Linked DNA regions of Kluyveromyces lactis. The protein of the gene in region 1 binds, or shares a complex with, the protein of each later gene. Links are inferred from orthologs where the notes say so. Each region holds a gene or a part of one and is shown in the gene's direction. Other genes may lie near its edges.

What was found. The genes of interacting proteins can lie anywhere in the genome.
Region 2: NGG1 (region 1) and ADA2 share a complex: the UniProt entries of both Saccharomyces cerevisiae proteins name them as parts of the ADA/GCN5 complex. The link is inferred for Kluyveromyces lactis from reciprocal best matches to the Saccharomyces cerevisiae genes NGG1 and ADA2.

The regions. Positions count from the first base shown.
Region 1 is NC_006040.1:1,523,258-1,527,265, forward strand, and holds NGG1 (histone acetyltransferase NGG1), read left to right. Parts: upstream 1-1,492; coding exon 1,493-3,409; downstream 3,410-4,008. Other genes in the region: RSM24 (mitochondrial 37S ribosomal protein mS35), read right to left, coding at 233-1,144; MAS1 (mitochondrial processing peptidase), read right to left, coding at 3,551-4,008. UniProt on the Saccharomyces cerevisiae protein: Component of the transcription coactivator SAGA complex. SAGA acts as a general cofactor required for essentially all RNA polymerase II transcription. At the promoters, SAGA is required for transcription pre-initiation complex (PIC) recruitment.
Region 2 is NC_006038.1:117,086-120,421, forward strand, and holds ADA2 (chromatin-binding transcription regulator ADA2), read left to right. Parts: upstream 1-1,440; coding exon 1,441-2,748; downstream 2,749-3,336. Other genes in the region: RPS17B (40S ribosomal protein eS17), read right to left, coding at 1-27, 684-686; snoRNA-binding rRNA-processing protein UTP6, read right to left, coding at 2,842-3,336. UniProt on the Saccharomyces cerevisiae protein: Component of the transcription coactivator SAGA complex. SAGA acts as a general cofactor required for essentially all RNA polymerase II transcription. At the promoters, SAGA is required for transcription pre-initiation complex (PIC) recruitment.

The DNA.
Region 1 (4,008 bases):
TATTCCGCCGTCAGTTTACTTCTTTGAATTACTCGGTGACAAGTTTGAAAGAATCTCATTTAGCATTGCTGATCAACTAAATCTACAGTTGAAGTAGCTATCATCTTAGATATGTAAGGTTTGTCTTTTCACCCTTTAACGAATAGATGGCTGTTGCTATACAATTAAATTGGTCATTAATTTGTGCGTATATGGCTATTTACAGTTGTTTTTGTGTGTTTTAAAAGGTTGATCAAAGCTGTTTGTGTAATAGCTCAACAAGATCCACTGTTTTCCTTGGAGCATCTTGTGGACGTTTCCACTCTTCTGGGAACTCGTACCCACGCTTTTTCTTACGCAATTGTCTTGCGATGATATGTCTTTTATCGAGAGGAACATCAGCAAAGTCGTCTTTCAAATCTTTAGCCTCCTTGAGTAATTCTAGAAGAATGCTGTTTAAGTACTTTGCATTTTGAGCTGGTTCTTCATAGCGATCAGAAGACATTCTCAAAGTATCTGTAGTAGAATCATAACGTGTTTTTGCCAATAGACGCAGCTTATGCAGTTCCCTCTGTTCCAAGCCGAGATCCGATGTCTTCACAGATAAGACAACCTTACGAGAATTTGGATGTTCTTCACCAAGATATGTTGTATAACGATAAGCTACTGGATGAGTCTTTGTTGAAGGGCGTTTATATTCTTGACGATACTGCGCAAGTAAAGGAAGTTCAAATGCTGCCAAACGATTGTAGAAACGTTGTTCACGATGTTGATGAACTAAAATTTGTGATTGTGATGGCAAATCATCAAACTGATATTGATCCAAGTTGACATGCTCGTCTAGACCTCTTGCAATGCCCATTTCTGCCTCAACTTCTTCAGGTGTCTTATGATAGTACTCTTTGAAAAGTTTTGCTGGAATTCCAGACGCTTCGGCAGTGGGTAACAATGCTTTCAACTCTTCTTCGCAAGGCTTATATAGGGGCCCTAGTCTTGCCTTTCTTTCATTGTGCAACGTTATGATATCTTTACTATCCAAACCGATCCATTTCGATGGATCCTTGTAAAGTGTTGAGGAAATGGTCGCAACTTCTTTCGTAACGGTGGAGTTTAAACGTCTACTACAAAAGAATGCAGTACGTTGCACGCTAGCACCAGTAATCATTGTTGAGTGCCTAAGATGATTACGTTATCGCAGACCTTTTAACACTTTGAATATAATTGGCTTTCTCTGGTTCCGATTGGTGTTGTATCGAGGATTATTGGTATTTCTGGTAAACTTGGAAAATTTTTTGCAGAGAAAAGGCGGAGGTCACGTGATAATAAATTTTCTATGAAAATATCTGTCAAAGTAACGGAAGATAAACAACGAAGCAACAAACAGAACAAAGTCATTAATATTGCCAAAGCTGGAAAGCAGCCTATCTTTTAACGATAGTCAACAGTGGACAAAGGTGGAATCAAGTAGATTGCTAAACCAGATCTTCACTCAGTAAAACACCACTGGTATATTATGTCAAGGAATACGCGAAGAGGCAAAGGAATAAGAGAGCAGAAAAGAGATGACGCTGGGCTACATGAACCGTCGAATATTCTAAATTCGATGCTGAAGTCTTTAGACTTGACTTTTGAGAATGACATAGGTTTACTGAACGGTAAATACGTGAGGTCGGTTCCTGAGAAACCGGTTTTGCAAACAACTAAAGATCAACTAGAAAATCTAGGAAAATGTTTGGAGAAAATTGCAGCTAGTGATCAAGAGAATTTAGACCTAATCAAGGAAATGCGGGAAGATATAATAAGGCTCGAAGATGAGAAACAAAAAGAGAAGGAGGAAGCAGAAGCTGCAACAAACCTTGCAGCCCAGAACGCAGAAAATGATTCAATTAATAAAAAACTTGATGAATCTAGCGAAGTCGTATCGGATAAAAGATCAATTACAGAAGAGAACGAGGAGACAGACAAAAGGCCACAAGATACTATTGAAGAAGCGGAAGTTTTATCATCAGATGGTCACATATCAAAGAAAGCAAAGCTAGATATTGATAAAATGGAAAATGATCCTAACATTAGAAACCCCAAGTCTGAATTTGTAGTATCTCAAACGTTACCTGCTGCTGCAATGAGATTAGGTTTGTTTCAAGAGGAGGGTCTTGAAGCTACTGGTGAGGAATATTTGAAAAAGAAATACGGGGTAGTAAGCTATCCTACAAATGACTTAAAGGAACTTCTACCCGGTGAGCTGCCTGATATGGATTTCTCGAAACCTAAACCCACAAACCAAATTCAGTTTAATACTTTTCTCTCATCCATCGAGGCCTTTTACAGAGAATTCAATGATGACGATATCAAATTCCTTCAAAACAAATTCATCATGCCACAAAATTTGCAGTTTGTGAAATCTTATGACCCCGAAGTGACTCCATACACAATTCCTAAATTAGGACCACTATACACAGACGTGTGGTTGAAAGAAGACAATAATCAAAACATTGCGAATCTGACTCCTCCACCTATCAGTGATCCTATTAGTATCTTGCCTAAGAAATCAGGGAATGACATTTCGGATGGTGTACTTGACAATGAAGAAGTGTCTTGTGGCCCGCTAGTCTCAAGGCTTTTGAGTGCTATACTGAAGGATGATGATATTATAGCTCCTAAGGAAGAATTACCGACAAACCCCACACTCGATTCATCAGTATCAACACCAGTAAGTGAGCTTGAACATGTTACCCCATCATCCTCCTCGTCATACGGGATATTCAAACAACATGGAGCGATTGCAAACAATTCCAATATTGATTATGTTTCTTTTGAGGAACGCTTGAAAAGGGAATTAAAGTATGTTGGTATATATATGAATCTACCGAGAGAAGAAGGAAAAACACGTGAAGACCCGGATTGGTTGACCGGAAGGGAAGATGATGAGATTAGTGCTGAACTAAGAGAGCTGCAGAGTACACTACGTCAAGTGACTACTAAGAATACCAAAAGAAAGGCAATGCTTCTACCGTTATTGGAGAGGATGCTCGCATGGCAAGAGTACTGTACCATATTGGACAATCTTGATAAGCAAGTTGACCAAGCATATATCAAACGTATTCGTGCGCCGAAAAATAAGAAAAAGAGGCAATATACACCTGGGCCGGATTCATTAGCAACCGGATCAACATCTCAGGCAGCTATTCAGGCAGCTCACCAACAAGCCGCTAACTCGAGTCTAAAATCTTTGTTGGATAAGAGACAAAGATGGATAAGCAAGATTGGTCCTTTGTTTGACAAACCGGAAGTCATGAAGCGTATTCCAAGAGATAGCGTATTCAAGGATATAGACCAAGATGAGGAAGAAGAAGAAGCAGATGTGTTCAGCAATAATGCCAACGGGAAGGAAGAAGAATTAAATGAAACTCTACAAAATAAAGAAGAATAAATTGAAATAACTGACAGACTGGCGTCAAGCTGGTTTTTGGTGCTAGCTAGTGGAATTAGACCCTTTATTATATAGAATACGTGGAATAAATGTACCTGTCTATATTTGATGCAATTATGATTTATGATATTTACTTGTTACTTAGTTATTCATATTAGTCTGAATGTATGATAAAGATGGAACCGTTTTGACATTACCTAGAGCAACCATAGAGACAGGTTTATTGAGCAGCCTATAATTTGCCCACATTATAATGTCCTGCTTTGTGATTTTATTAACTTGTTCGAAAACCTCCTCTGGTGATAACCTTTTACCAGTCGTTACTACTTGTCTTCCAATATCTTCAGCTATTGCAGTCGATCCATCTAGAGAAAGAAGTAGAGAGGCTTTTAATCTTGCTTTCGCTCTGTTTACCTCATCGTCCGAGATACGTCCGGACCGAATTCTTTTCCACTCTTTTAAAATTTCGTCAATGATTAACTTTATATCGTGTTGTTGAGAATCAGCCACAATGTACATACCCCACAAACCGGAGTCGGCGTACGATGTTGAGAATGACATGTAGGAATTAGTTAAAGTACCATTTTCAGATGCAGCAA
Region 2 (3,336 bases), on another chromosome or scaffold:
CTTGACGGTCTTGGTTCTAACTCTACCCTACTCAAATAATATCAACGAATCGATTTGATCTTGTTAGTAAAAGTGGCTTCATTTTATATTGCTTCTGCGAAAACTTCCATGGAAGATAGACCTGAGAAAGAATTTGATCCTGTGAAGTTCATCATTTTGGGGGAAATAATTGGACATATGCGTTCGTTTCGTCAACTTTATTACATGTGAGAGACCTTTAACGTTAGGGTGATGAACTCCATTAATACTGTGTTGGATATGATGTTGTGGTAGCTCATATACTAATCAATGCAGGCCGTTTGCTTTATTTTGTTCCATTTTACATCAGACGGAGTTTTGATCCTTACTGTGGGTCACAATACTGGAACATGGTCATACATCACTCCTGACATGCCATAATGTTCAACTGGTGATTGGTACTTCCCAAATTGTGCAACTTTTAATACCTTTCTCACTTTCTATAGTTTTGTCTTCTTCCTCATCATTCTATTATTCTACAGTGACCAGTGCCAACCCAAAGTCCAGGTTATCTATTCCTCCTATAATCTCTCTTAATGTAGATTTTGGTCATTAGTCTACGTCTCCCGATCAATCCAGCTCTGGAAAAACACTTCTTCTCATAATCTCTTATCTTTATGGTTCTTTTCGCTTCAATTTGTCAGTTATCATCATGCTTAACGTACCATTTTGTATCGATTTAGTCCTTACGGTTGTTCCTTGTTTCAAATGCTAGAATAGTGTTAAACACGTACTGTCAACAATTGGTCTTGTAAATGTTACCGTAATCTTTAAAAGTTCATTATTACTAGACAGTATGAAATTTCATGGTGCAAACGTTGAAACAAACAGACTAACCAGGATTCACTCACAACCGGGGAACGGAAACGAAGCACAATGCAAAGGGAATACTAAGCTGGACAGAGCTAGGCAGAAGGTGTCACTGGAGGACACAATGTTACCGAAGGAACAGCTGGTAAGAGAGTGCGTGGTAGCATCCAAAGTGGGCAGAGATGGGACTCGGGAACGAAAGTGCGTCTCGTGTGGATGACAGCAAGCTAGACAGACATTCTGTCTTCCAGTACCAGTCCACACACCTTTCCCCTCCGTCCCAATTCTCTTACGAAGTGCCAAGTAGTATTTCCTCTTTTGGTTTTATCAAATTTTATGAAATTAGCGTTCTCGAATTTCAGGATTTTCAGATTTTTCATCCTTAATAAGAATGTAAGGATGTAACAGTCCCGCATTCTGTTCTCCTGTTTACATGGAAAGTTCAATTATGATGTTCTAAAGAATCAACAAGTGATTTCAAGAGAGTTTAAAGAATAAGTCAAACTCATTGATATAAAAAGATAACTAACTTCGAGGACCCGCAAACTGTTATAGTGATTTAGCTTTACATCTGTTTGACTTTGAACTGCTTCTCCTTGTTCAACCGTCACCATGTCTAACAAGTTCCATTGTGATATTTGTTCTGCAGATTGTACAAACAGAGTCAGAATAACATGTGCGGTGTGTCCAGAGTATGATTTATGTGTGCCATGCTTCGCAAAAGGGTTATACAACGGTAAGCACCGGCCAAGCCATGACTATAAAGTGATTGAAACCAACTCATACCCGATTCTCTGTGAGGATTGGGGCGCTGATGAAGAGTTACTGTTGATAAAAGGAGCCCAGACACTGGGATTAGGTAACTGGCAAGATATTGCGGATCATATCGGATCTAGAGATAAGGAAGAAGTTTATGATCATTATTTGAAGTTTTACTTGAACAGTGAACACTATCCTATTCCAGATATCACAAAAGACATTAATGAACCGCAAGAACAATTTTTGGAGAAAAGAAAGAAACGCATGGAAAGATTTAGGGAAAGGCCTTTGGAACCTCCTAGGAAACCGATGGCATCACAACCGTCATGCCATGAAGTGCAAGGGTTTATGCCAGGTAGATTGGAATTCGAAACGGAGTTCGAGAATGAGGCCGAAGGTCCGGTCAAAGATATGGTCTTCGACGCCGATGATCAACCGTTAGATATTGAAGTGAAGTTGGCTATTCTTGACATCTACAACTCGAGATTGACGACTAGAGCAGAAAAGAAGCGTTTGTTGTTTGACAATTGTCTGATGGAATACAGGAGACTACAAAGTCTCGATAAGAAGCGTTCAAAAGAAACCAAAGATTTGTACAACAAAATTAAGGCTTTCGCAAGAATCATGTCCCCGCTGGATTTTGAAGAATTCAGCAAAGACATATTGGAAGAACTTCGGTGTCGAACAAGAATTCATCAATTGCAAGAATGGAGGAGCAACGGTATCACTACTTTGGAAGCTGGTCTTAAATATGAACGTGATAAACAAGCAAGAATTATGACATTGGAAAGATTTGGAAGTCAAGTGTACTCTTCTTCTTCATCTAGTAACACTGCCCGTTATAGAGCTACTTCGGCCCATAGATCGCAAGCTGATTATGCTCAAAATTATAACGAAGGAAGTGGACGTAAGAAACTAATGACTATCAGTGACATTCAGCATGGGGCAGATTTCCAATTATTATCAGCTGAGGAACAGCAGTTATGCATAACGTTGAAAATTTTGCCAAAGCCTTACATTGCCATCAAAGAGGTACTATTCAGAGAATTAATACGGACTGCAGGTCAACTCTCGAAGAAACAGTGTCGTGATTTATTGAATATCGAGGCAACGAAGGCCAACAGAATCTATGATTTCTTCGTTTCTCAGAATTGGGTTTAATTAGAGTTATAAAACTGTGGAAATATTGGCTCCACTGCTTACCTTACTACTTAATGTCAAATATGTACATAAAAATGTGTATACAGTGTCTCATTACAGTTTCTTGATAATAGCATTCAAAATAGCATACTTCGAATCAGATTTATCCATATTGGATAATAGATGTTGGGTCAAATAACCAGAATATAATGTAGTAAGTTGTTTGGCATTCGTCTCATCTAATTTGCTGATGTATGCAGAATACTTTTTGAAGGACAATTGGAGACTGTCGATGTTTAATTCGCCGGCAGGCATGAATTTGATATTTAATGTAACATCATGCAATAATAATTCCACATATTTTTCTGGCATACTTTTCTCAAGGGAAATATTATAATGTTCGTCCTTTAGCCATTGCAATACGTGATTTATCAGATATTCTCTTTTTAAATCTTGAAATTCCGAAAATAAGTTGATATACTCGAGGCATCTATCAAACAGGTAGGACATAACGTTTCTGCTGAGCTCTTCATCGACTTGCGAATTGGTAACGGCGTAGTATCCTTGATGTTTCTTGACAAAAGATGTGCCCAGATTCTTCATTGCGAT